Stegostoma tigrinum: one gene and its partner. The main gene of each other region encodes a partner of the protein of the gene in region 2 in a complex. Links are inferred from orthologs where the notes say so. Each region holds a gene or a part of one and is shown on either strand. Other genes may lie near its edges.

Region 1 (16,173 bases), on a different chromosome or scaffold from region 2:
GGGATTTATCTGTCTTTAATCTGATGACTTTCCAAACTCTATTTCTCCACGAACACCGAATTCGTTCAGTTCCTCCTCACTAGACCCTATGCTCCCCAGCATTTCTGGGGCATTATTTGTATTCTCCTTTATGAAGTCAGAACAAATATATATTTAATTGGTTTGCCATCTCTGCTCCCTATTATATTTTCCCCTGTTTATGATTGTAAGGGACGAACACTTGTCTTCACTAATCTTTTTCTTTTCACATACTAATAGAAGCTTTTGTACAATCAGTTAATACATTTTCTGCTAGCTTACCATAACACTCTATTTTCTCCCTCTTAACCAAAACCTTTGTCCTTTTTTGCTGAAATCTAAATTGCTCCTAATCCTCAGGTCTGCTACTTCTTTATTCGACAATTTACACACCTCGTCCTTGGATCTAACATTATCCGTAATTTTCTTTCATAGCCTTGGTCAGGTCACGTTTCTCATTGTGTTTTTGTGCCAAACAGGAGTAAGTCTTTGCAGTTCCTCCATGAGTTCTTTAAATGATTGCCATTGCTTATCTACCACGTAAATACAACAGTCAAGAAGGGACAACAATGCCTCTTCTTCGTCAGGTAGCTCAGGAAATATGGCATTTCCATAAGGACCCTCACCAACTTCTACAAATGAGCCACTGAAAGCATGCTGTCCACATACATAACAGCCTCATATGGCAACTGCTCTGCCTAGGACTGTTAAGAAACTACAGAAGGTGGTGTGCACAGCCCAAACCATCATGGGAGCCAACCTTCTATCCATGGACTCTATCTACACAGCCCACTGCTGCGGAAAGGAAGCCAACATCATCAAAGTCCCACTGCATCCTAGTAATGAGCTCCTACAACCTCTTCCATCAAGCAGAACACACGCACGAGCAGGCTCAGGAATAACTTCTTTTCAGCCGTTATCAGACTGTTGGATGGACTCTACCTCAAATAACGTAACCGGTATGCCTCCACGTATTTGTGATCTGTACATCTTTTGCTTGCTGTGACCTGCCTGTACCGCTTGTAAACCATGCTTTTCACTGTATTTCAGTACACGTGACAATAAAATCAATTAACATAAATCAGCTCTTTAAATAACATTCCCCAATTTATCATAGTTAGTTCACACCTATTACAATTGTAGTTCTCTTTCTTTAGATTCAGGACTCCAGTCTCAGAATCAACTGCTAGGGTGTAATACCGGACAGGCTGGTGCAATTTTCCTGAGGGCAGAGAAGGCTAAGGGGGGCGCCTGTTTGAGGTGAACAAAGTTCGAAGGCACACAGGGAGGGCAGATGGAACCGAACTTTTCTCCAATAAAAATGAGGTCAGTAACTAGGGAGCGTAGTTTTAAGTAAAGAGCGGGAGGTTTAGAGCTGATTTGAGGACAATACTTTTCACCCAAAAGATTGTAGGCATGTGGAATGTGCTGTCTGAAAGGGTGGGAGAGGCAGGAATCGGCAAAACAGTGAAGAACAGTTTGAATGAGCATTTGAACTGCCACAGCATACAAGGCTACAGGCCGTGGATTAGAACAGATGGATGTTTGATGAATGGCACGGTGTATAAGAAGCAGGCTCAGTCTATCTGACCTGCTTCCAACCATAAGGCTTAGCATCAGTCTACAATATCCTGTATAAGACTTATGCCTGCGTAAAAGTCTCACCATCAGCCTGCTAAAACCAGCACAAGTCCATATGGGTTGCTCCTGCCCACAAGGTTCAGCCATGGTATAAATGATCCTGCTGCTGTCTACAAGTCGCAGCCCCAATCTGTACGATCTGTCTCTGTACAGGTCACAAACCCAGGGTCTATGATGTCTCCCTGTAGAGGTTTCAGCCCCAGTCTGCATGATCTGTCCCTGCACAGGGCTCAGCCCAAGTCTGTATGTTCTGTCCCTGCACAGGTGTCAGCCTCAGTTTGTACGATCTGTCCCTGCACAGGTCTCAGTCCCAGTCTGTATCATCTGTCAGTGTACAGGTCTCATCCCCAGTTTGTATGATCTGTCTCTGCACAGGTCTCAGACTCACTCTCTACGATCTGTCCCTGCCACAGGTCTTAGCACCAGTGTGTATGATCTGTCCCTATACAGGTCTCAGCCCCAGTCTGGATGTTCTGTCCCTGCACAAGTCTCAGCCCCAGTTTGTATGATCTGTCCCTGCACAGGTCTCAGTCCCAGTCTGTACGATCTGTCCCTGCACAGGTCTCAGCCCCAGTCTGTATCATCTGTCCCTGCAAAGGTCTCAGCCCCAGTCTGTGTGATCTGTCCCTGAACAAGTCTCAGCCCCAGTCTGTGTGACCTGTCCCTGCACAGGGCTCAGCCCCAGTCTGTATGATCTGTTCCTGTACAGGGGTCAGCCCCAGTCTGTATGATCTGTCCCTGCACAGGGCTCTGCCCCAGTCCGTATGATCTGTCCCTGCACAGGTCTCAGCCTCAGTCTGTATAATCTGTCCCTGCACAGGTCCCAGCCTCAATGTGTGTGATCTCACCCTGTACAGGTCTCAGCCCCAGTCTGTATGATCTGTCCCTGCAAAGGACTCAGCCCCAGTCTGTCTGATCTGTCCCTGCACAGGTCTCAGCCCCAGTCTGTGTGATCTGTCCCTGTACAGGTCTCAGCATCAGTCTGTATGATCTGTCTCTACACAAGTCTCAGCCCTAGTCTGCATGATCTGTCCCTGCACAGGTCTCAGTCTCACTCTGTATGATCTGTCCTTGCACAGGTCTCAGCCCCAGTCTGTATGATCTGTCCTTGCACAGGTCCCAGCCTCAGTCTGTACGATCTGTCCCTGCACAGGTCTCAGCCCCAGTCTGTGTGATCTGTCCCTCTACAGGTCTCAGCCCCAGACTGTGTGATCTATCCCGGTACAGGTCTCAGCCCTCGTCTGTGTGATCTGTCCCTGCACAGGGCTCAGCCCCAGTCTGTATGAATTGTCCCTGCACAGGTGTCAGCCCCAGTTTGTACGATCTGTCCCTGCACAGGGCTCAGTCCCAGTCTGTATCATCTGTCCCTGTACAGGTCTCAGCCCCAGTTTGTATGATAATCCCTGCACAGGTCTCAGCCTCATTCTGTATGATCTGTCCCTGCACAGGTCTTAGCTCTAATCTGTATGATCTGCCCCTATACAGGTCTCAGCCTCAGTCGGTATGATCTGTCCCTGCACAGGTCACAGCCCCAGTCTGTATGATCTGTCCCTGTACAGGTCTCAGCCCCAGTCTGTATGATCTGTCCCTGTACAGGTCTCAGCCCCAGTCTGTATGATCTATCTCTGCACAGGTGTCAGCCCCAGTCTGTATCATCATCCGTCTCTGCACAGGTCTCAGCCCTAGCCTGTATGATCTGTCCTGCACAGGTCTCAGCCTCACTCTGTATCCTCTGTCCTTGCACAGGTCTCAGCCCCAATCTGTATGATCTGTCCCTGAACAGGTCTCAGCCTCATTCTGCATCATCTGTCCCTCTACAGGTCTCAGTCCCAGTCTGTGTGATCTGTCCCTCTACAGGTCTCAGCCCTCGTCTGTGTGATCTGTCCCTGCACAGGGCTCAGCCCCAGTCTGTATGAATTGTCCCTGCACAGGTGTCAGCCCCAGTTTGTACGATCTGTCCCTGCACAGGGCTCAGTCCCAGTCTGTATCATCTGTCCCTGTACAGGTCTCAGCCCCAGTTTGTATGATAATCCCTGCACAGGTCTCAGCCTCATTCTGTATGATCTGTCCCTGTACAGGTCTTAGCTCTAATCTGTATGATCTGCCCCTATACAGGTCTCAGCCTCAGTCGGTATGATCTGTCCCTGCACAGGTCTCAGCCCCAGTCTGTATCATCTGTCCCTGCACAGGTCTCAGCCCCAGTCTATGTGATCTGTCCCTTTACAGGTCTCAGCCCCAGTCTGTGTGATCTGTCCCTGTACAGGTCTCAGCCCCAGTCTGTATGATCTATCTCTGCACAGGTCTCAGCCCCAGTCTGTATGCTCTGTCCCTGCACAGGTCTCAGCCTCAGTCTGTATCATCTGTCTCTGCACAGGTCTCAGCCCTTGTCTGTATGATCTGTCCTGCACAGGTCTCAGCCTCACTCTGCATGATCTGTCCTTGCACAGGTCTCAGCCCCAATCTGTACGATCTGTCCCTGAACAGGTCTCAGCCTCAGTCTGTATCGTCTGTGCCTCTACAGGTCTCAGCCTCAGTCTGTGTGATCTGTCCCTCTACAGGTCTCAGCCCCAGTCTGTGTGATCTGTCCCTGCACAGGTCTCAGCCTCACTCTGTATGATCTGTCCTTGCACAGGTCCCAGCCTCAGTCTGTACGATCTGTCCCTGCACAGGTCTCAGCCCCAGTCTGTGTGATCTGTCCCTCTACAGGTCTCAGCCCCAGACTGTGTGATCTGTCCCTCTACAGGTCTCAGCCCTCGTCTGTGTGATCTGTCCCTGCACAGGACTCAGCCCCAGTCTGTATGAATTGTCCCTGCACAGGTGTCAGCCCCAGCTTGTACGATCTGTCCCTGCACAGGGCTCAGTCCCAGTCTGTATCATCTGTCCCTGTACAGGTCTCAGCCCCAGTTTGTATGATAATCCCTGCACAGGTCTCAGCCTCATTCTGTATGATCTGTCCCTGTACAGGTCTTAGCTCTAATCTGTATGATCTGCCCCTATACAGGTCTCAGCCTCAGTCGGTATGATCTGTCCCTGCACACGTCTCAGCCCCAGTCTGTATCATCTGTCCCTGCACAGGTCTCAGCCCCAGTCTGTGTGATCTGTCCCTTTACAGGTCTCAGCCCCAGTCTATGTGATCTGTCCCTTTACAGGTCTCAGCCCCAGTCTGTGTGATCTGTCCCTGTACAGGTCTCAGCCCCAGTCTGTATGATCTATCTCTGCACAGGTCTCAGCCCCAGTCTGTATCATCTGTCTCTGCACAGGTCTCAGCCCTTGTCTGTATGATCTGTCCTGCACAGGTCTCAGCCTCACTCTGCATGATCTGTCCTTGCACAGGTCTCAGCCCCAATCTGTACGATCTGTCCCTGAACAGGTCTCAGCCTCAGTCTGTGTGATCTGTCCCTCTACAGGTCTCAGCCCCAGTCTGTGTGATCTGTCCCTCTACAGGTCTCAGCCCCAGTCTGTGTGATCTGTCCCTCTACAGGTCTCAGCCCCAGTCTGTGTGATCTGTCCCTCTACAGGTCTCAGCCCCAGTCTGTATGATCTGTCCCTGCACAGGTCTCAGCCCCAGTCTGTGTGATCTGTCCCTGCACAGTTCTCAACCCCAGTCTGTATGATCTGTCCCTGTACAGGTCTCAGCACCAGTCTGTGTGATCTGTCCCTGAACAGGTCTCAGCATCAGTCTGTATGATCTGTACCTGCACAGGTCTCAGCCTCAGTCTGTATAATCTGTCCCTGCACAGGTCACAGCCTCAATGTGTGTGATCTCACCCTGTACAGGTCTCAGCCCCAGTCTGTATGATCTGTCCCTGTAAAGGACTCAGCCCCAGTCTGTCTGATCTGTCCCTGCACAGGTCTCAGCCTCACTCTGTATGATCTGTCCTTGCACAGGTCTCAGCCCCAGTCTGTATGATCTGTCCTTGCACAGGTCCCAGCCTCAGTCTGTGTGATCTGTCCCTGTACAGGGCTCAGCCCCAGTCTGTGTGATCTGTCCCTCTACAGGTCTCAGCCCCAGTCTGTGTGATCTGTCCCTCTACAGGTCTCAGCCCCAGTCTGTGTGATCTGTCCCTCTACAGGTCTCAGCCCCAGTCTGTGTGATCTGTCCCTCTACAGGTCTCAGTCCCAGTCTGTATGATCTGTCCTTGCACAGGTCTCAGCCTCAGTCAGTATGATCTGTCCCTGCACAGGTCACAGCCCCAGTCTGTATGATCTGTCCCTGCACAGGTCTCAGCCTCACTCTGTATGATCTGTCCCTGCACAGGTCTCAGCCCCAGTCTGTATGATCTGTCCCTGCACAGGTCTCAGCCCCAGTCTGTGTGATCTGTCCCTGTACAGGTCTCAGCATCAGTCTGTATGATCTGTCTCTACACAAGTCTCAGCCCTAGTCTGCATGATCTGTCCCTGCACAGGTCTCAGCCTCACTCTGTATGATCTGTCCTTGCACAGGTCTCAGCCCCAGTCTGTATGATCTGTCCCTGCACAGGTCTCAGCCCCAGTTTGTATGATCTGTCCCCGTCCAGGTCTCAGCACCAGTCTGTATGATCTGTCCCTGCACAGGTCTCAGCCTCAGTCTGTATAATGTGTCCCTGCACAGGTCCCAGCCTCAATCTGTGTGATCTCACCCTGTACAGGTCTCATCCCCAGTCTGTATGATCTGTCCCTATTCAGGTCTCAACCCCAATCTGTATGATCTGTCCCTGTACAGGTCTCAACCCCAGTCTGTATGATCTGTCCCTGCACAGGTCTCAGCTCCAGTCTGTAGGACCTATACCTGTGTCGCCAGATTCTTTTTTCCGCCTGTTTCTTTTCCGGCTTCCCGCGTTTCGAGTGACGTTTTTGCGCGCATGCACACCTCTCCGTTAGTGATTGGTCAGGGCCTTTGTGCAGCGGCCTTGTGATTGGTCGAGATTTGTATGAATCGTCAGAAGCGCGCCCCCAGCTGAGGGAGCGTCTGAAATGACCGGGCTGGAATGCAGGCGAAAATCTCCTATCTCTGTCCCAGCAATCACCACAAAGGGTCCCAGGGATTCAGATATGCATCATGTTCTGTGTTTACATTGTTTCATGTTCGTGCACGGACGGGAATTTTTCGTTAAGGTTCTTCCAACATTGTATGTTGTCCTTTTGTAACAGATCTCTAAGCGGAGAAACCCAGAGGATCAAGGACGTGAATTGACTTCAGTCGCGTTTGATCCATGAAATGCGATCTAATTATCATTTTTGAAAAATTGTGTAAAACGCGTTTGTTTAGATGGTGTAAGGCAATGTACATGATAACCCCAAATTATGAGTGCATCGATTCGCGAAACACATCATTCAGCAGCAATCAGCTGGAATATAATCCGAGATCTTGCTGGATCTGTAACTGATCAACCCATATAAACAAAAGTCCAGACCCCTGTTACTTTTATGACTTTAAACTATTGGTTGGGTGATATCACACACATTTCCTAATGGAATAATCACGTTTAAAATAAATACTAAAACGCATTTGGCCTCTAAATAATTTATTATGTATAATCAAGCCTATCATTGATTGCTTTAATTCAATATTTCTGTCAATTTCTGAAACCAGACTGCTAAACTTTTACTGTGCATAACTCAATCACTTCTGTTCACTGTGACAATGATGCTGAATAATGCAGTGCAGTCATGCTGAATATGAAGACGGTGTTAACTGAATAATTTCCATAATTTTTTAATCGCTTTAACTTGGAGAACAAAATGAATGTATTGCATTTAAATAAAGTGTCTGTAGTTTGTGTAACTCCGCGTGAGGAGCTGCCCATCACTGCACCTCGCTGGGGTTCTTTCTGTGTGTGTTCTTGTCTAATTAAAAAACAGTACATCACAGTTAAATAAAATTGCACCCAGGATAACCCATATTTCCATATGCAGATTTATCGGCACTGACAGCCCTCTCTCCCTCTCTCTTATTGTCTGCATTCCCCTCCTTATTAAAAAAAGACAAACACGGAGAGAAATCTGATGCAGCTTCCCTGATTCTACAGAAAAGGATTCATTCTCTCTAATGTCTACAATTTTTTTTCTTCTTCTCTCAAGATGTCCTGTCAGCCAGTAATTTGAGGAAATCAGCCGGGACTTTTTCAGATTCGCAATGGGCAACAGCATTCCGTGTTTTCTTCGTTCTTGTCGCCGAAGGAAATGGCACAAATATTTGAGACTGAGGGAAAGAGAGTTCTCTAGAGGGGAATATATTTTTGTTTGTATTGATAATAATTCATCTGACAGCTGGGAGCATTTGGTGGATATGCTGTTATGTGCGGTCAAGTGGACTCTGTCCCTGTCTCTGGGCTTTAGAGAAGATCCGCAGAAATAAATCTCAGCATTATGTGGAACTGAGGTAAGAGGTACTGTATGACCTAATATATTTTAAGGCCTTATTTAGATTTTCAATGACTGATTTTTGTTTTGCAGTACATTTATGAAATGCCAAGGCAAAGGGTGACGGTTTTTGCTAACAACTACCTTAGAGAAAACAACCGTGTAATTTCTTTACTGACTAACCAAATGTTTGTATTGTTGAAAAGAAAACATTATTGGGAATAATAGCATTTAATTTATTGTCATTGAGTGGCTGTATTTACATATCATATAAGATTATCTTTGTTCCTTTACTGTGCAATATAATTTATAATATCATGAATTGATTAATTTTATTATGCAAAGCAGAATTATTTTGATAATCATTACCGACAAAAGTAAAAATTATCTCAAAATCATGGGTAAGTGTATTGAAATAAAACGACCTACATACAAAATACAGAAACTGAGTGGACAGGCAAAGAAATAAGACAATTATCTTTAATTTTCCAATGCATCCCAACATTGCTCTTTGTATCAACCGAGAAAGAAAAATTGCAGCACCCATTAGAATTTCTAATTTTACAACACAGCACTGACAAGTAAGCTCACTCGGTGAATTATTCACATCTTTAATTTGCTCACTTAATGACAGTGTTCTGTAATCAGAGTGCAGAGGCTGCCTTACATGCATTATGTATGATGTGTGATACTTAATGCAGGACATTATGGAGCTCTTAGTGATTCAGTAATTAGTTTTCCATAACACAGTACTTGGATGCTAAACTGCTGGAACACATATTTCAAACACAGTATATGGTGTAACTAATGAAATTGCATCTTCCTGGATAGTCCACTGAGACTTTCAGCCAGCTTGTGGTGTATCAAAAAGCATTATCGGCCTGTGGTTATTTCAACTAAAATCACAGGGTCTTTGGGTATCTTGCTATGCAGTTTAATGCTGCTTTACTAAATAAATTATATGTATCTTGTGAATATGCATCGTCCTAAGGTTCCAACTAGATTGTCCACAGTTAATGTGATTCCAAGTAAATTTGTTCTCCTGCTGTTCTTAATCAATTTTGCATGGCAAGAAAATCAGACTTGTTATTTACCCTTCCTGTAAATGAGGGAATATCATCTTACAGAATTTAATCAACAGCATGACAACAACTGTATTACATGCTGTGCTTGGAAATACATTTTTTCTTTTTAAGAGTTCTGTGCTCCCAGTATTTAAATCTGACCAACTCACAAATGCCTGTTTTATCTTCAAGGTTGTTTTCAGTCGGTGAATCAAACAAGGTAAAGTGAACAAATTAGGGTGAATGCTCAGTTTCCACTTACCCGATAAATCCTATTCATGGAATAACGGTCATAGACATATACTAGATCACATGGCATAGCTATGAAAATTTCAATAAAATTTGGTCCAGCTTCTCTGATGGTCAACAAGTTTGCTTAGTAATTTACTCATTCCAAAGCTAAAAACAAAACTATTTTCGATAAATTTGAGTTGTTCATTATTTTCACCTTCTTGTAGGCCTTTCACTACTTTTAATCAAACTCCTGAAAGGCGATGAAAGGGAATACAAAAATATGGACATTTTCCTTACAATTGGTTGTAACGCATTATACAAAAGCATATGAGAAAAGAACACAAACTTTAACATAATAATTTTAATACTTTTTTATTGCACCAAATAAAAAATACTCAAGTCAAAGTACAGTACACAAACTGAATTGCTGAGCAGATTAAAGTTTTCCATACTTACTCAGGATGCACTGTACTCATGCACTTTGTTGACTGCTGAAGCTTTTCCTCAAAATTACTTAGCCCAATGAACAGGATTCATTTGAGGTGGCTGAATGCATTTATCTGCCTAGGGGTATGAATCCAGAAAACAGACAAATAGGTAACAATTTCAGTTATTATCAAGTGTGAGATTCAGAGAACATCAATTTCATAGCTAAAGAAACTCAAGATTGATTGGACAAAAAAACATACTTAACGTTCTGTTTCTTAAAGTAATGTGACAGTGGTAATGTAGACAAAATAAATTTTGGAACATTCAAAATTTTATTCATTCTCCACTAAGCTAGAAAACAACTCAGAATCATGGATCTGGTACAGGTTAGAAGGAGGCTATTCATGTGTCTGTATCTGCCACCTGAGTTAGCATCTTGGCTTAGTCCCATTTTCCCTGTAACCTTGAATATTGTTTTTGTTTAATTATTAATCCAATGCCCTCTTAAATGCCTTAAATGAACCTGCCTCCATCACAATTCCAGGCAATGCATTACAGACCCAAAGTACTCCCTATGTGAAAAAGACTTTTTTCCCCATATTACATTTGTATCTTTTGCAGATTACTTTATATCACACAGCTCATTCTCAATCCTTTATTGAGTGAGAACAGTTTCTCCTAACCTACTCTGCCCAGCAGCCTCATGATTTAGAACATCGCCATCAAGTCTCCTGTTAGCCTTCTCCTCTCCAAGCAACTCAGCCAGAAGTTCATTTATCTATCTTTGCTGAGCCCTGGAACCATGTTTTTTAAACCTCTTTGATATTCTGACCAATGTGTTTACATTCTTCCTGTTGTGTGATGTACACAACAGTACACAATACTCGAGCCAAGTTCTAACTAGTGTCATTTACAAGTTCAGTGTAACCTCCTTATTCTTGTACTCTATGACTCTATTTATAAAGGCTAGGATATTGAATGCTTTATTAATTCCCTGTGCTGTCACTTTGACTAACACATACACTCAGACCTTTCTGTTCCTGCATACATGTTAGGGGAGTAACTTTAAGTTTACAATGCCTCTTCATGTTTTTTCCACCAATATGGCCACTTCTCCACATTCAAATTTGTCTGCCACCTGTCTAATCACTCCACCAGGCTGTCCTTTTGTAGTTTTACACTGTCCTTCTTACAGTATACAATGGCCGAGGTTGTGAATCATGATAGCCTTTTCAAACCACTTGTTCAGCTCCAGTTGGAGTATTGTATCCATTGCTGGGTTTCTGATATGGCAGAAGGCTCTGATTAAAGTCAAGACCTGAAATGTTAAACCCAATTTTCTGTCCAGAGGTGCCGCTTGACCATCTTAGTATTTCTACCTTTCATTTTCTTAAATTTTAGATTTGTAATTGACAGTTTACAATGGTTCCAGGTTTTGTGTTTTTATTTATCCATTCATAGGTTATGGACATCACTGGTTGGACAAGCAGTGATTAGAACAAAGTCAGCCAGTTGGACCCATAGAATATGAGTCCCCTGATTGGGACAATTAATCTGGTCCAATCAAGGAGCCCTGGCTGACAGATAGAAACAGTAGTGTCAGACATCTTGTCACTCTAAGAACTGGCTCTGCGGGAGCTGGATCAGTGTCAAGGCCTTTGCATGTGTAAATAAAGGGTGACTCGGTGACAGGATACTGGCCTCTCTGGAGTTATTTCAGTGATGATGAGAGTAAAGCACAACTCTGAAGAAATCCATGTGCAATCGTCACCTTTGAGTGTGGGAAAGCATTTCTGGCATCATGTTAATATTTTGAAGGCTTGACTCACTTGTTCCTGCCATCGAGGACTAGGTCCAGAATGTGGAATTTTTTTTTCCCAGGCAAATTAAAATGGGGCAGATGAAAGGCAGCAGGTAATTCTGTTGACAGCTTGTGGACTCACAGTGTTTTCAATTATTAAGAGTCTAACTTTCCCTGAGGCACCAGATACCAAAACCCTTCAAAACTGATGCCTTGAGCTAAGGAATATTATGATCCCCAAACCACCTCTAATTTTGAGACGCCATTGGTTTTCCTCAGCAATTTGAGAACCAGGGGAATCTGAATTGGGATTTTTGACTCAGTTAAGATGATTCACAGAGGTATGTGACTTTTGTTTAATCCTTAATGAGATGATGAGAGACCATTTGGTATGTGGGATTAATGATGTAACCATGCAAAAGCACCTACTAGCTGAAGCCCAATTGGGCTTCAAACAGGTACTACAACTGGATTTATCATTGAAAAATGTGACAAGTGAAGCATATAGGTTGCAGGGTATTCCAAAAGAAGTTGATACACTCGACAGGCCAACTGAGCTTGGGGAACACCACCTGAGTGAAGGCAATTGCATTGCCTAACTCACGATATATCCTGAACAGAGGGACTCTCGGTTAACCCACAGCAAAATCCCAAAACAATGGCAAGCTTGGCCAAACAGTTAAAATTTTCTTCAGGGTCCTGGCCAACAAGCCTTATATTTGCTGCCGCTATGCAGACTCGAGACGGCAAATGAGTCCCACTAGACATAAATTGAGTAAGAGAATTCCTAGGCCGGTATCTGGGGAAATGCACACCCTGAAAAGTCCACCTACATCTGGTTTGGAGCAGTTAAATTGCTTAGCGACATCCAAATCAGAACCAATCAAAGTATTTAACCAATCTGGATAAATGGTCACCCGGTTCTAATGGAGGTTGATACCGGTGGCTGCTGTTTCGGTGATCGCAAAACCAGACTTTAACAACATTCGGTCTGGACTTCCACCCTTACATTTGTGCAAGACATCAGCCAGACTGAAAATCTACAGTGGGGAGCCTTTACAGATTAAGGTTACAACTTCAGTTCTAGTCTTTTCTGAGAAGCAGCTGGTTCAGTTACCAGTGATTGTGGTGGTTGTAATGCAAGACTGCTATTTGGGGTATCGTCAGCTGTATAATTTTTCAGCAGATGATGGAAAACATTTTACAAAGTCATCCCCAGGTTGCCATTTATCTAGATGATCTAGAGAAGACCAATAAGGAGCACTTAGAGAACTTGAACACAGTCTTTTAACATTTCTCCCAGGCTTGTCTCTGCCTTGGAAGGTAAATATGTATGTTCCAGGAACCCCAAGTGACCTACTTTGGCTGCAGATTCAACAAGACTGGGTTACACCCATTGGGAGATAAAGTGAGGGCGATCAAATGTATCTTCGCTCCCCCATCTGGACTGGAGCTTAAGTCTTTCCTTCGGCTGGTGTATTATTACAGAAAGTTCATACATAACCTGGCCTCCATCCTGGAAACTCTGTATCAATTTTCAAAAACAGGTCAACTTTCAAATTGGTCACATAGACAAGCCATAATTTTCAGGGAAGTGAAGAAACAGTTATCATCCACTAAGGCATTGGCATACTATGATCCCAAGAGATCTGGTATTGACATGCAATGCCTTCTGTTATGGCACCAGAGTAGCATTAGCTCATTGGTGGCCCAATGGAGAGGAATGTGCATTAGTATATGTATCCAGGACTTTGGTTAATGCAGAGAGTAAATATGCCCAAATAGAGAAGGAAGGTTTGGCGGTCCCATTTGGAGTAAGGAAGTTCCACCAATACCTTTATGGATGTCAGTTTGTAATAACAATGGACCACAAACCTCTGCCAGGACCACTTAAAGAGAACAAGGCAGTGTTGCCCATTGCTTCAGGCCGAATTCAGCAGAGCTCAAAAATTAAGTGCGTATAACTACAAATTGGAACACTGTCCAGGAGATCAAGTAGCAAATGTGTATGCATTGAGCCACCTCCCGCTGGCAGATACACCACCAGTTGTACCACCACTGGAAGAGCACACAGTGGTTTTGAATTGTCTGGGTGCACTTTCAGTCACAGCTGACAATATCAGACTTTGGGCGCAGAAAGATGTGGTCCTGGCAAAACTGAAACAGCTGATGGTGATGGGGGTTATCAATGGGCTGTCACAACCAGAACCAAAACCTTTTTGGACTTGCACAGACGAGATCACAGTGGAGGATGGCATGTTATTATGGGGAGCAAGAATGACTTCCCCAAGTAAAGGTCACTGCCAGGTGTTGGCTGAAATGTATCAGGTTCATCCAGGGGTTTCCAAATGAAGATGTTGGTGAGTAGTTATGCCTGGTGGCCAGGAGTGGATGCATATATAGCTGCATTGGTAGAGCAGTGCCCAGAGCGCCAACAAGGACAAAAATTACCACCAGCAACTTCCACAGATTCGTGGGAATGGCTGGGTAAACCCTGGACTCGGTTACACATCGACTATGCAGGTCTTTTCATGGGCTCAATGTTCTTTGTCATTTTGGATGTCCACCAAAATGGCCGGACCTGCATAGCGTCCACTTGTCCAGCACAGGAACAACGGTAAGAAAATTGTGTGCATCTTTTGCAATACATGGACTCCCAGAAGCTTTGGTCTCAGATAACAGTCCATCTAGCACAGAATTTATTTATTTTATAAAGTTGAATGGCCCTCAACATGTAAAGACAGCTCCATATCATCCATCATCCAATGGTCTGGCAGAAAGAGCAGTCCAAACTCTGAAGCTTAAAGAAATAGCCGACAGCATCATTCCATATCAGACTGTCCCTGTTTGATGATAGGACAATCCATCATGAAATTACATCAATAGCTCCAACAGGGTTGCTAGTGGAAAGAAGACTCTGCACCTGATTAAATCTGATCTTCACGGACCTTGGGTGAGGCTGAAACAGCATCAGGAACACCAATGCCAGACTCTGGTAAGTGAGAGAGACAGTTTACTACAGGAGACAAAGTTTGTTGTGTGAAACCCTGCACGGTTAAGAGGCTTGGTTGTCATGCGGTCAGGTCCAGTGATGTATAAAGTTCAGATAGGTGCAACAGTCCTGAACAAGCATGTGGACCATCTGAGAGTTGCAAACTCTCAAACGAGGTGGGAATGAAGTATGCCTGGCTCCTCAGCAAGGTCAGAAAGGGTGTTGCCGCTTCGACACCTTTGCTGCCTGAAGAAGACAGTGACTTTCTCCCAGGATGCTCCAGGCAGAAGAGGCAAGCTACTGTGCGTTACACACCACCTGTATCTAAGGAAGGAACCTGACTTGGTGCTAAAGTGCCCCAGGAGGTGCTACTAAAAAAAAATCTGACCTATGTCCTCAGATTCAAGAGGGGAAGGGTTGTGGTGCTAGCTCATAGAATATGAGTTCCCTGATTGAGGCTGTTAAATGGTCCAATCAGGAGGTCCTGGCTGACAGATATAAACAGGAGTGTCAGCCTTTCTGTTTGCACTGAAAGATAGCTCTGAGGAAGTTGGATCAGTGTCAAAGACTTTCCACATGTAAATGAAGGATGATTTGGTGTCATGAAACTGGCCTTTGTGGAGTCACTTCAAGGCCAGTAATCATTGCTTACCCCTAGTTGGCCAGAGGGCAGTTGAAAGTCAACGACATTGCTGTGGGTCTGGAATCCCATGTAGGTCAGACCAGGTAGGATGGCAGTTTCCTTCCTGAAAAGACATCAATCAACCAGATGGATTTTTACCCTGACAATTGACAATGGTGTCATGATCATCATTATCCTTTTAATTCCAGATTTTTATTGAATTCAAATTCCATTGTCTGCTGTGGTGGGATCCCAATGAAGGTCCCCAGAACATAACGTGCATCTCTGGATTAATAGTCTGGCAATAATACCACTAGGTCATTTCCTAGGAGTCGTACGCACAGGTCAAAACTGTCCTCTGCACACCAAAAGATGATGGAATTAGACACACCTCTGTGAAGGGTTTTCCCTTTGGTTGTTCTTAAATTTAAAAAAACAAGATCAGCATGTAAAATCTCAAAAATCATCCTCTGGAATAGTATCAATTTGTGAAACACAATCTAAAATGACAATCAGCATTTCATTAGTGAAATTATGGGTGTCATTTTTGAAAATCCTTTGAATATACAAATAGCAGAAATAAAGAATGAAAAAAAAAAGTTAATTTCCTTCTTTGTCACTGCTGCCCCAGGATAAATCTGGAAATTAGTCAGGTGATTAATCTGGATCAAGTAGTCTCCTGCCATAGGTCATCTCATAATACTCAGAACCCAGGGATGGTGTTGGTTGTTAGTTTTCGATTTAGTGTTTAAATACAGCAGCCAGAATGCCTCAAGTTGAAAACAGTATCTGGTACCTGTAAACAGAAGGCTCTTCTCTCTGGGCTCTGCTTATTGTTTTCTTCATCCCCTCAGTTGTTTTAATTTAATAATCTAAGGTGAATTGGATGCAGGACCTAAGGCCCATGTCTTCACTTTAACACTCACAATAGTTTTCAACAGCATATTGATGGAGGTAAGCAGAAGACCAGTCAAATTTCAAATGCACGATTGTGGGCTGCTGGGCAACCATGAAATCCATAGGAAATGTA
Region 2 (16,066 bases):
AATCTTGTTATCGAGTTTAACTAGCAGGAATTCAAATTAATCGAATGATCAGCCAGCTCACTGAGACCTTGCTCCTTTAAGGAATGCTCAAGCATCTCTGATGGTAGCGAGTTTTGAGAAGATTTGTAGCTCAGATTGAGGTTCTGGATGTGAGTTTGCTCGCTGAGCTAGAAGGTTCGTTTTCAGACGTTTCGTCACCATTCTAGGTAACATCATCAGTGAGCCTCCGACGAAGCGCTGGTGTTATGTCCCGCTTTCTATTTATCAGTTTAGGTTTCCTTGGCTTGGTGATGTCATTTCCTGTCCTTTTTCTCAGTGGATGGTAAATTGGCTCCAAATCAATGTGTTTGTTGATGGAGTTCCGGTTGGAATGCCATGCTTCTAGGAATTCTCATGCGTGTCTCTGTTTGGCTTGTCCTAGGATGGGTGTGTTGTCCCAATCAAAGTGGTGTCCTTCCTCGTCTGTATGTAAGGATACGAGTGATAGTGGTAGACATCCCCAACCCAAGGAACCCTAACCAGATAAATAGAAAGCAGGACATAACACCAGCGCTTCGTCGGAGGCTCACTGATGATGTTACCTAGAATGGTGACGAAACGTCTGAAAACTAACCTTCCAGCTCAGTGAGCAAACTCACATCCAGATTTCTGATGGTAGAGTGTTAACATTGTATTCCAGGGACCCAGGCTAAACGTTGGGTCAGCATCTCTTACTGATCTGTATACAGCGAGTTACTTGCTAGGCCAGTTGAGAGGGCAGTTTGGAGACAGCTCTCTGTGGTTATAAAACCGTGCGTTTGTGTTACCACATACATAAAACAGCTGGAGCTGTCACACTGCGTAATGTGAGAACAGTGTGTGACAGCCAGCTCCTCACTGACATTTCCCACCACACTGGCTCAAGTAAGACAGTCTCTTTGAAAAAAACGAACAGGAAAGTACCTCAGCCAGAGCTTCGAGTGACTGTGGGACAGAGTGTCCGGCCCTGATAGCACCTAGTGTGATCCCTTACCTGGGTGAAGTACCTCGCAACCAGCTCCAGGAATTGCCTGTCCTGGTTACAGGATACTGAGGAGATCTCGAGATGTGTTAGGATGTCATGAGGAAGATTCTTCAGCAGAAACTGGACCCCTTTTAATCCCAGCTGGTTGTTGGAGAGGTTCAGAGTTTTCAGGTGCCTGGTCCCTGAGCGAGTAAAGAAGATAGGGTTAGGGACTGGGCAGTGCATCATCAGATGGACGAGGTCATTGCACTGTCACAGATCAGCTCAGGGAGGCTTAGAGCTGATCACCAACCCATAATAATAACTATCAAATAACTCATCCATTAACAGATTGAAACACAGCTAAAACATTCCAGTCAGAATGATTCCAATTCATTAGCGATGATGTACTTTTGAAATTAAAATCACAATTTATCTCGCAACACCAATACAGGGTCAGCGCTGACCGAACGCCGCACTGTCAGAGGGTTAGTGCTGAGGGAGCAGGCACTGTCGGAAGGTCAGTGCTGAGGGAGCGGGCACTGTCGGAGGGTCAGTGCTGAGGGAGTGGGCACTGTCGGAGGGTCAGTGCTGGAGGAGTGCTGCACTGTCGGAGGGTCAGTGCTGAGGGAGCGAGCACTGTCGGACGGTCAGTGCTGAGGGAGTGGGCACTGTCGGAGGGTCAGTGCTGGAGGAGTGCTGCACTGGTGGAGGGTCAGTGCTGAGCGAACGCCGCACTGTCAGAGGGGCAGTGCTGAGGGAGCACCGCACTGTCGGAGGGTCAGTGCTGAGGGAGGACCGCACTGTCGGAGGGTCAGTGCTGAGGGAGCGCCGCACTGTCGGAGGGTCAGTGCTGACGGAGCGCTGCACTGTCGGAGGGTCAGTGCTGAGGGAGGGCCGCACTGTTGGAGGGTCAGTACTGAGGGAGTGGGCACTGTGGGAGGGTGAGTGCTGAGGGAGCGGGTACTGTTGGAGGGCCAGTGCTGAGGGAGTGGGCACTGTTGGAGGGTCAGTGCTGGAGGAGTGCTGCACTGTCAGAGGGTCAGTGCTGAGGGAGCGCCGCACTGTCGGAGGGTCAGTGCTAAGGGAGTGGGCACTGTCGGAGGGTCAGTGCAGAGGGAGTGGGCACTGTTGGAGGGTCAGTGCTGGAGGAGTGCTGCACTGTCAGAGGGTCAGTGCTAAGGGAGTGGGCACTGTCGGAGGGTCAGTGCAGAGGGAGTGGGCACTGTCGGAGGGTCAGTGCAGAGGGAGTGGGCACTGTCGGAGGGTCAGCGCTGAGGGAGCGCCGCACTGTCTGAGGGTCAGTGCTGAGGGAGCGCCGCACTGTCGGAGGGTCAGTGCTGAGGGAGTGTCGCACTGTCGGAGGGTCAGTGCTGAGGGAGGGCCGCACTGTTGGAGGGTCAGTACTGAGGGAGTGGGCACTGTGGGAGGGTGAGTGCTGAGGGAGCGGGTACTGTTGGAGGGTCAGTGCTGAGGGAGTGGGCACTGTCGGAGGGTCAGTGCTGGGGGAGTGGTCGCTGTCGGAGGGTCAGTGCTGGGGGAGTGGGCGCTGTCGGAGGGTCAGTGCTGAGGGAGTGGGCACTGTCGGAGGGTCAGTGCTGAGGGAGTGGGCACTGTCAGAGGGTCAGCGCTGAGGGAGCGCCGCCCTGTCGGAGGGTCAGTGCTGAGGGAGTGCCGCACTGTCCGAGGGTCAGTGCTGAGGGAGCGCCGCACTGTCCGAGGGTCAGCGCTGAGGGAGTGCTGCACTGTTGGAGGGATCAGTGCTGAGGGAGTGGGCACTGTCAGAGGGTCAGCGCTGAGGGAGCGCCGCACTGTCTGAGGGTCAGTGCTGAGGGAGCGCCGCACTGTCGGAGGGTCAGTGCTGAGGGAGTGGGCACTGTCAGAGGGTCAGCGCTGAGGGAGCGCCGCCCTGTCGGAGGGTCAGTGCTGAGGGAGTGCCGCATTGTCCGAGGGTCAGTGCTGAGGGAGCGCCGCACTGTCGGAGGGTCAGCGCTGAGGGAGTGCTGCACTGTTGGAGGGATCAGTGCTGAGGGAGCGGGCACTGTCAGAGGGTCAGCGCTGAGGGAGCGCCGCACTGTCTGAGGGTCAGTGCTGAGGGAGCGCCGCACTGTCGGAGGGTCAGTGCTGAGGGAGTGTCGCACTGTCGGAGGGTCAGTGCTGAGGGAGGGCCGCACTGTTGGAGGGTCAGTACTGAGGGAGTGGGCACTGTGGGAGGGTGAGTGCTGAGGGAGCGGGTACTGTTGGAGGGTCAGTGCTGGGGGAGTGGTCGCTGTCGGAGGGTCAGTGCTGGGGGAGTGGGCGCTGTCGGAGGGTCAGTGCTGAGGGAGTGGGCACTGTCGGAGGGTCAGTGCTGAGGGAACAGGCACTGTCAGAGTGTCAGTGCTGAGGGAGTGGGCACTGTCGGAGGGTCAGTGCTGAGGGAGTGGGCACTGTCAGAGGGTCAGCGCTGAGGGAGTGCCGCACTGTCCGAGGGTCAGCGCTGAGGGAGTGCTGCACTGTCCGAGGGTCAGCGCTGAGGGAGTGCTGCACTGTCCGAGGGTCAGCGCTGAGGGAGTGCTGCACTGTTGGAGGGTCAGTGCTGAGGGAGCGCCGCACTGTCGGAGGGTCAGTGCTGAGGGAGCGCCGCACTGTCGGAGGGTCAGTGCTGAGGGAGTGGGCACTGTGGGAGGGTGAGTGCTGAGGGAGCGGGTACTGTCGGAGGGTCAGGGCTGAGGGAGCGGGCACTGTCGGAGTGTCAGCGCTGAGGAAGTGCTGCACTGTTGGAGGGATCAGTGCTGAGGGCCTTGTTCACCCCCAGTCGAACATCAGCACCTCCATATCACGAAATGTGAAGTTATACACTTAAGTGTGAAAAACAGACAGGAAGTGAGTGTATCATTTAAATGATGACATTTAGGGAGGTGTGTATGTGCAGTGGGATCTGGGGGTCCTTGTTTACAGCCAGTGAAAGTAGATGGGCAGATGCTGCAGGGAATTAGGTAAATTAGCCTTTGTTGCAAGAGGACTTGAGCTCAGAAATAGGGATATCTTACAGTAGATATACACAGGGCCCTGGGGAGACCTTGGTGAGGTCTCCGGGCCTAAGACAAGATCAGATGTCACACAACACCAGGCTACAGTCTGGCACTTCGTTTGAAATCACAAGCTTTCCCAGCTCTGCCCCTTCATCCGGTCACCTTGATTTATTGTCACGTGTATCAAAATGCAGTGAAAAAGCTTTGTTTGCGGGTGGTACAGGCAGATCATAGCAAGAAGTACAGATCAAAAAGACTGAGGTACACAGGTTACATTGCACAGGGCAAGCTCAGATCAACGTTAGCAAGATCAGCATTATTTGAGTCTGGAGGGTCCATTCCTCAGTCTGAGTACAGCTGGCAAGACGCTGTTCCTGAACCTGTGCATGTGCGCGTTCAGGCTTCTGTGTCTTCTGCCTGATGGAAGAGGCTGCAGGAGAGCATTACCGGGGTGCGATGGGTCTTCAATGATGTTGGTCGCCTAATGAAGGGGCTATGCTCTGAAAGCTTGTGATTTCAATAAACCTGTTGTTGTGTGATTTCTGACCTTTTCCACCCCAGTCCAACACCCGCGCTTGCACATCATTCTTTGGAAAAAACATAGTTGCCACGAGGCAATTTCTGTAATGTTCTGGAGTGGCAGATGGAGTTTAACCCTGAAAAGTGTGAGGTGATTCATTTTGGAAGGACAAACTTGAAAGCAGAATACAGGGATAACGGAAAGATTCATAGCACTGTGGAGGAGCAGAAGGATCTTGGGGCTCATGTTCACAGTTCCCTGAAAGCTGCCACCCAGGTGGATAGCATGGTTAAGAAGGCGTATGGTATGTTAGCTTTCATTAGTAGAGGGATTGAGTTCAAGAGCCATGAAGTTATGCTGCAGCTGTACAAAAGCCTGGTTCAGCCACATCTGGCGTATTGTGTCCAGTTCTGGTTGCGTCATTACAGGAAAGATGTGGAAGCATTGGAAAAGGTGCAGAGGAGATTTACCGGAATGTTGCCTGGAATGGAGGGAAGATCTTACGAGGAAAGGTTGAGAGAGCTCGGGCTTTTCTCTTTAGAATGACGAAGGATGAGAGTTGACTTGACAAGTGTACAAAATGTTCAGAGGTATAGATAGAGTGGACAGCCAGAGACTTTTTCCTCGGGTGAAGGTAGCTATTATGAGGGGACCTAGTTTTAAAGTGAGTGGAGGTAGATATAGGGGAGGTGTCAGGGGTAGGATCTTTACAGAGAGTGGTCGGGGCGTGGATTGCCAGAGAGGGTAGTGGAGTTGGCCTCATTAGGGGCATTTAAGTGGCTATTAGATAGGCATATGGATGATAGTATAAGGTAGGGGTGGAGGTTTGATAGACCTTAGGATTAGGGTAAAAGTTCAGCACAACATTGTGGGCCGAAGGGCCCGTGCTGTGCTGTTCTATGTTCACAAGACTGATAGAGAGAATTAGCAGATCTGTCGTAAGAGGAGAAAGTGGTTTGAATGGGCCTGTTGAGAAGGATGAGAAATGTATAAAATTCTAACAGGATCGGGCAGACCAGATGCTTAGGGACTGAGATGAAAAAATATTTTTCACCCAAAGGTTAGGAAAGGTGTGGAATATTTTACCATGAGGGCTGTGGAGGCCAGGTCACTGATCGCATTCAAGAAAAAGATCGATATGTTTCTAGGTTTTAAGGGTATGAAGGGGAATGGGGAGATATTGGGAATATGGGATTTAGATAGAGGATCGTATTGAATGGTGGTGCAGTATTGAAGGGCTGAATGGCCTCCTCCTGCTCCTAGTTTCTCTGTTTCCAAGTGAGTGTGCACTTTCCCAGGATGGTCTGCCTCTAACTCCGTCCTTGTCCTCTGTGCAAATCCCTGGGACTGGGATATCAGCCGTTCCAGCTGGAGACTCTATCTAATAGAGTCACACAGCACAGAACAGGCCCTTCGACCCAGCAACTCTGTGCTGACCGATCTACACCAGTGACACTTCACAGCGCTGGGCTCACAGCATTGAAAGTTGTGATATTTCAAATGTCCATCCAAGTACATTTTAAAAGGTTGTGTTTCCCATCTCAACCACCGACCCAGGTACAGCATTCCAAACTGCTGTAACTGTGCATGGAAACTCCTTGCGCAAAGCTGAGGGGGAGTCAAGGTGTTGTCACGATCTGAGTTCTATCTGTCTTGTACCTTTCACTGTGCAGGTCAGAGCGAAGTTCTGCAGGAACTTGGCTGTGAGCCCACAGGCCTGGAGTTTGAGTGTGCTCAGTAGAGGGCAGGATCTGATGAGAGAGGCTACAGACTGAGAGCAGCCATCACCCAAAGGATTGAGGCTGAGGTTCAACTCCTCCAGACTCTGAAACACAAAACAAAATTCAGGCTGTGAATTATTTTGAGTGTAAATTAAGACAGTGCTATGTCTCCCCTGGCACCCACCACTGTGCTCTGTGTTAATTGTACCACTCAGGTTAAAAATCTTGGGAAAGTCACTTCTGCCAGACTGAAAACAAAAAAATAAATGCTGGCGATCACAGCAGGTCAGGCATTTCTCTCTGTGGTTGCTGTCTGACCCGCTGTGATCTCCAGCATTTGCCGTTTTCAGCACACATCCTGGCACCTGCAGCAATTTGTTCCTACATCGTCCTAGCAGACCTTCCGGATTGTTCTCTTGTGGCAGGAGAGACCAGGATCTGAGGGCCCGGCCTCAAGGGGAGAGGACTGAGACGAAGAGGAATCTCTTCAGCCAGAGGGTGTGGAACTCACTGACACAGAGGGCTGCAGGGGCCAGGCCATTGAGTGTATTTCAGACAGAGGTGGGTAGGGTCCTGGTGAGTGAGGGGTTGGAGGGCTACAGGGAGAAGGCAGGAGAATGGGGTTTAAAAAAAATGTCAGATTGTGATTAAATGGTGCAGCACACATGGGCTGAGTGGCTTAATTCTGTTGCTGTGACTGGCTGTCCATGCTCATATCCCAAGAACTGAATCAAACTGGAGAGTAGTTTGAGATAGAGCTGAACCTATGTTGCTGGATACAGTGATAATAGGAACTGCAGATGCTGGAGAATCTGAGATAACAAAGTGTGGAGCTGGATGAACACAGCAGGCCAAGCGGCATCTCAGGAGCACAAAAGCTGATGTTTTGGGCCTAGACCCTTATCAGATGATCAGATTCACCCTTCCTCTGATGATGGGTCTAGGCCCGAAACGTCAGCTTTTGTGCTCCGGAGATGCCGCTTGACCTGCTGTGTCCATCCAGCTCCACACTTTGCTGGATATAGTGGTGAATTGGGTTGCTCTATCCCAGTGATCAGAGCATTGAGCAGCGTGCACTGTTGCCTGGTCTCCATCTCGGTGCTTTAGTAGAGCCAGGCATAACCCGATTGCTCCAAGAGGCCATCTGACCCATAGCCCTGCGTTCGCTCCTAAAAAGATGTTGTCCAGTTGCTCCCACTCTCCTTGCTAACGCCTCATCAAAACACTTACTAAGTTTGAACACCTCAATAAGATCTCATCAGTGTCCCCGCATGCACTGAATTCCCTCAACCCTCTGCACATTTCCCTCAGCAACTGATAGAAACAACGTCCTGGAAGGCAGGGGGTAGGCGGGTTCCGTTGGGTGTGTCAGGCTGTACAGGGGGGTAACGTCGGGAAGCTCTCCATCACACAGAGGGGAGTGGGGATCTGGAACCGTCCTCAAGCTCGACTGGGGGCAGCTGAAGCTGTCAGACTGAGACGGATAAATTCCTATCACTAAAGATAATTGAGGAAAACAAAGTAATGCCATGTGAGTGGAGTCGGGATACAGATCAGCTGTGATCTGACTGAATGGTGCGAACCACTGAAGGGGCTGAATGGCCTCCTCCTATCCCCACGTAGACTGGCAAGATCTCAAACCTGAAAAGCCGGATCCTCGTTTGGTCTGCTGGTCTCACCGAGAGTCCTCAGGCCTTGGTGTGTGATCTGATTGGAGGAGAGGTCCCGTACGGCCAGGTTGGGCATGGTCACCAGCTCCTCCATGGCGTCGTCACCAAGACGATTGGTGGAGAGGCGGAGCTGGCGGGTGGTGGTCTGCAGTTTGAGGGCCCGCAGGATGGGGGTCAGGTGCTCCTTGGTCAGCGACAGGCTGGATAAATCCACACAGGAATCTTTCTCCTGTAGCTGGAGAATCTTGAACATGGATGGGTGCACAGCTGCAAGCAGAGAGAGACACAACAAGGTTATTACAGCAACTGATAATACCCTGTCTTCGGAGAAAATCCAACTGTGGCACATCCCTGTTGCAACTGTTTATCCCTAACTGCCCCAGAGCAGAGTGTCTCACTCACCCAGTTCAAAGGACAGATAGGAATCAAGCACATCGCTGTGGGTCTGGAGTCACGTGTAGGCCAGACCAGGCGAGGATGGCAGTTTCCCTCCCTGAAGGGCATTATTGACCCAGATGGGTTTTTATAATTGATGATAACTCCCTGGTTCGCCATCACTGAGACCTGCTTTCACTTCCAGGTTTGGAGTCAGCCATGCAGCACAGAAACAGATCCTTTGGTCCTACCTGTCCATACCAACCAGGTATCCAAAAGTGATCTAGTCCCATGTGCCAGCATGTGGCCCGTATCCCTCTAAACCCTCCCTACCCACATACCCATCCAGATGCCTTTTAAACGCTGTAACTGTATCAGCCTCCACCACTTCCTCTGGCAGCTCCTCAGGTCCCTTTTAAATCTTTCCCTCTCACCTTAATCCTATGCCCCTCTAGTTTTGGACTCCCCCGCCCCAGGGAAAAGATCTTGACTATTTACCCTGTCCATGCCCCTCATTGATTGGTTCAAAGCTGGTGGAAATTTCCCAAATGGGAAGCCTGGATCCCTGGATAATGATGGCCGAGTGGTACCATCGCTAGACCAGAGACCCAGGTAATGTTCGAACAGGTTCAAATCCTGCCATGGTAGATGGTGGAATTTAAATTCAGTCAAATTCTGGAATTGAACACATAATGACGATGACCATGAAAGCAGTGGCACGAGTTATAAAATCCCATCTGATTCACTAATGTCCTTTGGGGAAGGAAACTGCCATCCTTACCTGGTCTGGCCTACATGTGACTCCAGACCCACAGCAATGTGGTTGACTCCTAACTGCCCTCTGAAATGGCCAAGTGAGATTCTCAAGTGAACTGAGACCCTAAGAAACCTCAAAAAGGAATGAAACAGACAGGCGACCGGGCATCACTGAAAAAGCACTGCAGAGTCCTCCTCACTAACAGCTGGGGTTTAGTGCCAAAATGGGGAGAGCTGTCTCACAGACTCGTCAAGCAACAGCCTGACACAGTCATACTCACCAGATCATACCTTATAGACAGTGTCCCAGACACCACCATCACCATCCCTGGATATATCCTGTATCACCAGCAGGACAGGCCCAGCGGAGGTGGGGGGGGGGGGGGGCACAGTGGGATACAGTCGGGAGGGAGTTAGGGAGTCCTCAACATGACTCCAGATCCCATGAAGTCTCATGGCTTCAGGTTAAACATTATTGGGTCCTAAAGGACATCGCTGCTCGACTGGGTCTGCTGCAGGTGGTGAGGGAACCAACAAGAGGGAAACACATACCCGACATAATCCCCACCAATCTGCCAGCTGCAGATGCATCTAAATAGAACATTGAACATAAAACAGTACAGCACAGCTCAGGCCCTTCGGTCCACGATGCTGTGCCAACCTATTATCCTACTCTAACATCAAACTATCCTGCATACCCTACAGTTTACTATCCTCCATTCGCCTATCCAAGAGTCACTTAAAAGTCCCTAAAGTATCTGACTCCACTACCGCTGTCGGCAGTGCATCGCACATGCCCGCCACTTTGTGTAGAGAACCTACCTCTGACATCTCCCCTATACCTTCCTCCAATCACCTTAAAATTATGCCTCTCGTGATAGTCATTTCTGCCCTGGGAAAAAGTCTATGGGTATCTACTCCCTCTATGCCTCTCATTTCTCCGTCAATGACAGTATCGGTCAGAGTGACCATGGCACAGTCCTTGTGGAGATTAAGTCCTACCTTCACATTGAGAATAACCTCCATCGTGTTGTGTAACACTATCCCCGTGCTCAATGGGACAGACTTCACACAGATCTAGCAACTCAAGACTGGGCATCCATGAGGCGCTGTGGGTCATCAACAGCAGCAGAATTGTACTCCAGCACGATCTGTAAGCTCATGGCCCGGCATATCCCCCACTCAACCATTACCATCCAGGCAGAGGATCAGACTGGTTCAATGGAGAGTGCAGGAGGGCAGGCCAGGAGCAGCACCAGGGATACCTGAAGATGAGCTACCAGCCTGGTGAAGCCACCAAACAGGATTACTTACACACCAGACAATGTAAGCAGCGAGCGACAGACAGAGCTAAGCGATCCCACAACCAACGTATCAGATCTAAGCTCCGCAGTCCTGCCACATCCAGCTGTGAAAGGTGGTGGACAATTAACAACTCACTGGAGGAGGAGGCTCCACAAATATCCTGATCCTCAACGATGGAAGAGCCCAGCGCATCAGGGCAAAAGATAAGGCTGAAGCATTCGCAGCAATCTTCAGCCAGAACTGCCAAGTGGATGATCCATCTCTCCCTCCTCCTGTGGTCCCCAGCATCACAGATACTAGTCTTCAGCCAATTCGATTCACTCCACGTGATATCAAGAAACAGTTGGAGATACTGGATACTGCAAAGGCTATGGGCCCTGATAACATTCTGCAATAGTACTGAAGGCTTGTGCTCCAGACGCTCCCCTACAAGAATTGTTTATCTTTTAAATACATTCATGAGATGTGGGTGTCACAAACTGGGCCCAGCATTTGTTGCCCATCCCTGACTGCCCTTGAGAAGGTGGTGGTGAGCTGCCTTCTTGAACCACAATAGACCAGCTGCTGTAGGGATAGCCACACTGCCCTATGGCAGGGAATTCCAAGCTGTTCCAGCACAGTTACAACACTGATATCTACCTGACAATATGGAAAATTGCCCAGATATGTCCTGTACATAAAAAGCAGGACAAATCCATCCCGGCCAATTACCATCCCATCAGTCTCCTCTCGACCATCAGTAACATGATGGAAGGTGTCAGTAACAGTGCTATCAAGCAGCTCCTGCTCAGCAATAACCTGCTCAGTGACGCCCAGTTTGGGTTCCGCCAGGGCCACTCAGCTCCTGACCTCATTACAGCCTCCGTTCAAACATGGACAAAAGAGCTGAATTCCAGAGGGTGAGGTGAGAGTGACAGCCCTTGATATCAAGGCTGCATTCGACCGAGTGGCATTAAGGAGCCCCAGCAAAACTGGAATCAATGGGTATCAGGGGCAAACCGTCTTGTGGTTGGAGTCAGACCTGACACAGAGGAAGATGGCTGTGGTTATTGGAGATCAATCATCTCAGCTCCAGGACATCTCTTCAGGAGTTCCTCAGGGTAGTGGCCTGGGTCCAACCATCTTCAGCTGCTTCATCAATAACCTTCCCTCCATCATAAGGTCAGAATTGGGGACGATTACACAATGTTCAGCACCATTCGTGGCTCCTCAGATACTGAAGCAGTCCATGATCAAATGTAATATGATCTGGATAATATCCAGGCTTGGGGCTGATAAGGGACAAGTAACATTCGTGCCACACAAATACCAGGCAATGACCATCACTAATAAGAGACAATCCAATAACCACCCCTTGACATTCAATGGTGTTACCATCACTGAATCCCCCACTATCAATATCCTGGGTATTAACATTGAGCAGAAACTAAACTGGACTCACCACATAAACAGTGGTTACAACAGCAGGCCAGAAGCTGGGAATCCAGCAGCGAGTAACTCACCTCCTGATCCCCAAAGCCTGTCCCACCATCTACAAGGCACAAGGCAGGAGTGTGATGGGATACTCCCCACTTGCGTGGATGGGTGCAGCCCCAAAAACACTCAAGAAGCTTGACACCATCCAGGAGAAAGCAGCTGCTTGATTGGCACCACATCCACAAGCATCCACTCCCTCCACCACCAACGGTCAGTAGCAGCAGTGTGTACGAGCCACAAGATGCACAGCAGAAATTCAAAGATCCTCAGGCAGCACCTTCCAAACCCAGAACCACTTCCATCCAGAAGGACAAGGGCAGCAGAAATATGGGAACACCATCCCCTCCAAATTCTCCTCCAATACACTCACCATCCTGACTTGGAAATATATCGCTGTTTTTTCAGTGTCACAGGGTCAAAATCCTAGAATTCCCTCCCTTAGGGCTTTGTAGGTCTAGCTATGGCACATGGACTGCAATGTTTCAAGGAGGCAGCTCATCAACATCTTCTCAAGGGGCAACTAGGGACGGGGGGCAATAAATGCTGGGCCCAGCCTGTGATGCCCATATTACATGAATAATAAAAATAAACCATCAGCCATTTCTGAAGAAGGGTCTAGGCCTGAAACGTCAGCCTTCCTGCTCCTCTGATGCTGCTTGGCCTGCTGTGTTCATCCAACTCCACACCTTGTTATCTCAGATTCTCCAGCATAGGCAGTTCCTACTATCTCTCAACACTACAACAGCATCTCCCCTTTAGACATGGACCTAAATCAATCTATGAACTGTCGGTACATTTGGGGGAGGTAGATCTAAGGGGTAGGTTTGTGGCAGGTTTGGAAAGTGCTACCGAAGGATCCTTGCTGCAGTACATCTTGTGGATGGTGCACAGAGATTTCTCAGACCTGTGAATAAAATGTTATTTCCGTTGTCCTTACCTCCTGCCAGACTGTCACAGGCCCTCTTATACCGTTCGGAGAGTGGAGGCAGGTCCCAGGACGTGACCTCAGCCAGGACCTGAAAAACATCAGAGTGCCTCTTGAGTGTATTCCCTTCTGACGGAAGCAGCATTTCTCCTGGAGCAATCGGTGACCCTTAGAACACAGAACACATGGTCCCAGTGCATAAGGCGACCAAAACCTGCCCTTCTGAATTCAATCTGAACCTGCAATACTGCAGGTTCACTATCCAATCGTTACAGTTCAGAGGCCATTCGATCCATTGTGCTGGTGCTAGGCCTCCCCTCGGGTGCAGTTCATATTCATATTCCACCCCACATCCGTGCACAGTCCTCGTCTGGGGGTATTTGGAGTATTCAGAAACGTGCTGCAATGGCAGGGAGACCTTCTGCATCTATCCTCATCGGGACCTGGGTAACAGGGCTTCAGCTCAATGCCACGTTCCAGCTGTTGGCACATGGCCCAGGAGGTGATGGACCTTGAGGTGTAGATCCAGGGTGGGAGGTGGTGGCCGAGTGTGGGGGATTTGTGAACCCATGCTGTTTGGCATTGCAAAGCGGCTGGCCCGGGTAGGGTCGGGGAGCTCTGCTGGCCGGTATGGCTGCTTTGCGATGCCAATAGTGTGGTTTCAATTCCCACACCAGCTGAGGTCACCATGAAAGACTCTGCTTCTCCACCTCTCCCCTCACTTTCTGGTGAAACCATCACCTGGCTGACTGTCTCGTGATTGAGGGGCCCCTATGGTCCTCTGGGGCTGCGGTGACGTTGCCCGTCCCGTGGTTGCGGTCACCTCCTCGTTGTCACGGAGAAGGTTGATGATTGGTTCGTGTGGAGAGAGCAGCGCTCCATCAAGGGTTAGAGAGAGCCGGGGTCGCACACCACACTCGGCACTGTATTTCCTTGCCGCTTCCTCTGCCCGCCACCAGATGGTGCATGTGTCCAACTCCCTGAAACCAGAACCGCACAGAGCTCTTCAGCTGCGGTAGGCTCACCTGCCTTCCTCCAGCCCTGTGCATGGAGGGAGCAAATGACTGCAGAGGCTGGGGTGTGTGCCGAAAGCGGCAAATGCCGGAGATCACTGCAGGTCTGACAGCAGCCACGGAGTGCACCAACTAACCGTATCTACCTGAATGATTCTTCATCAGAGCTGCAGCGAAGTGAGGAGGGGACAGCATTAATGGCGGGTGAATGGGGGGGGGGGGGGTGCGGTGCTGCTGGTTGTAGAGCGCTGGTGGAGGAAAGGTGTTGATAATGTGATAGTCAACATCTTTTGTCTGCCAGCCAGCATCCTGCAGCCACTACCAGCAGCAGCAGCCTCCCTCCCACCCTCTTCGCCAACGCCCCCCACACCCCCAAATTCTAGCCGAACCATTCCCACAGGAAGTGGTTCACGCCACACATTGAATGTACTCAAGAGGCAACTAGATCCAGCACTTGGGGGTGAATGGGATCTACGGAGAAAGCGGGATTAGGCTGTTGACCCACTGTGACCCAGTATTAGTTACTTGCTCCAGCTTACTGCAGGGTATGGGAACAGCTCGAAGGTCCCATTGCAGAGTCACACCCCATCTCCTACCTTTGAGGGACCCCAATTTCAAAGCGTTTCTTTTTCACTTTCACCTTCACTCAAAACGCTGGCATCAGCAGCGGTGCGTACGGTACACGGGGCTGTGAACACAATGAACAAGACTTAGGGAGCCATCAGAGCACCGGAGGCCAGGAATCTCACCCAGTCCCTGCTGACTCTCTGTAGAGAAACCCCCTCCTCCCCACGACCCTGTATTCCACCCACCCACCCCCAAGTACCCATCCAAATTCCTCTCGAAATCGCTCACCGTAACTGCTCGCCCCCACCCTCAGGCTCCTCGCTCTCCCATGCATCTTTGCTGAGATAGTCAGGAAGGCGATGTAGGGTTACCGGGAAAAGGCAGGAAAGTGGAGTGACGATTATCAGATCAGCCATGATCTCAATGAATGGCAAAGCAGGCTTTTGATGGGCTGAATGGCCCAATTGTGCGTCTACACCTTATGGTCTTTCACCCTACAGGTTGCTATCTGGAAATGAACAACGCAATGACCTCCTGACTGCCCTCACTGAATCTGCCCCCAGCAAACTAAGAATGCTTTAATGAAGGGATGAAAGCGGGAGAGGGTCAGGGAGGGAATTCCAAAGTTTGGGATTAGCAGCTGAGGCCACTGTCTCGGATGGTTGAGAGGTACTGAATGATGAAGAGGCCAGAGACCATGCCCTGCCACCATCCCCCCCTTCCCAAGGCTCAGGGGAGCCAATGGCCTTGTGGCATTGTCACTGGAGACCCAGCTTCTGGGGAAGTGGGTTCGAATCCCACCATGTCAGATGGTGGAATTTGAATTCAACTAAACTCTGGAATTAAGAGTCTAATGATGACCATGAATCCATCGTCAATTGTCTGGAAAATCCATCTGGTTCACTAATGTCCTTCGGAGAAGGAAACTGCCATCCTTACCTGAACCATAGAATCCCTATGTAATGGAAGCAGGCCATTTGGCCCATTGAGTGTACACTGACCCTTTGAAGACCATCCCACATCTGTAACAGTGTATCTCCCATAAGTAATCTACCTAGCCTGCACATCTTTGGACAGTGGGATGAAGCCGGAGGAAGCCGACGCAGACACGGGGAGAATGTGCAAACTCCACACAGACAGTCCCCCCAGGGTGGAATCGAACCCAGGTCCCTAGCGCTGTGAGGCTGCAGTGCGAACCACTGAGCCACTGTGCTGGTCCAATGTCCTGGTCTGGCCTACATGTGACCCTAGACCCTCAGCAATGTGGCTGACTCTTAGCTGCCCTCTGGGCAATTAGGGACGGGCAGTGAATTCTGATGCACACAATCTTGTGAATGAACTAAAAACAAGGTGGTGAGGCAGACGGAGATTAAAGAGATGGGGGGAGGACGAGGGCACAGAAACATTTCAAAACAGGGATGCAGATTTTTAAAAATCGGAAGCAAGACACATCTCTCTGAGACCAAATCTGACAAAATGCAAAGTGTACTTTGTGGACTACTGCCTCGCGATCTGTAAAGGCCAATATTTCCTGAATCCTCGGTCAGATATATTCCTGGGGGGACATGTGGGCTTGTCTGTTCCTACCTGTGATGTCGATGGGTGTGTCACCCTGAGGCTGCTTGGGATCTTGCTTGTTGTATTCTTCAGAGATTGTGACAGGGATGGCCGTGTCGGAGTATCTGCTGTCGTACCAGCATGGCGGTGGGTGTAATCCTGCCCAGGTCTCGGTGCGCTGTTCT

The links.
Region 1: tonsl (region 2) and mms22l share a complex: the UniProt entries of both Homo sapiens proteins name them as parts of the MMS22L-TONSL complex. The link is inferred for Stegostoma tigrinum from reciprocal best matches to the Homo sapiens genes TONSL and MMS22L.

The regions. Positions count from the first base shown.
Region 1 is NC_081357.1:51,709,202-51,725,374, reverse strand, and holds the start of mms22l (protein MMS22-like), read right to left. Parts: upstream 6,490-16,173; 5' UTR 6,428-6,489; intron 1,788-6,427; exon of another isoform or gene 1,684-1,787; intron 1-1,683. UniProt on the Homo sapiens protein: Component of the MMS22L-TONSL complex, a complex that promotes homologous recombination-mediated repair of double-strand breaks (DSBs) at stalled or collapsed replication forks.
Region 2 is NC_081355.1:160,277,303-160,293,368, forward strand, and holds the start of tonsl (tonsoku-like protein), read right to left. Parts: upstream 6,343-16,066; 5' UTR 6,176-6,342; intron 1,186-6,175; 5' UTR 1,013-1,185; intron 1-1,012. UniProt on the Homo sapiens protein: Component of the MMS22L-TONSL complex, a complex that promotes homologous recombination-mediated repair of double-strand breaks (DSBs) at stalled or collapsed replication forks.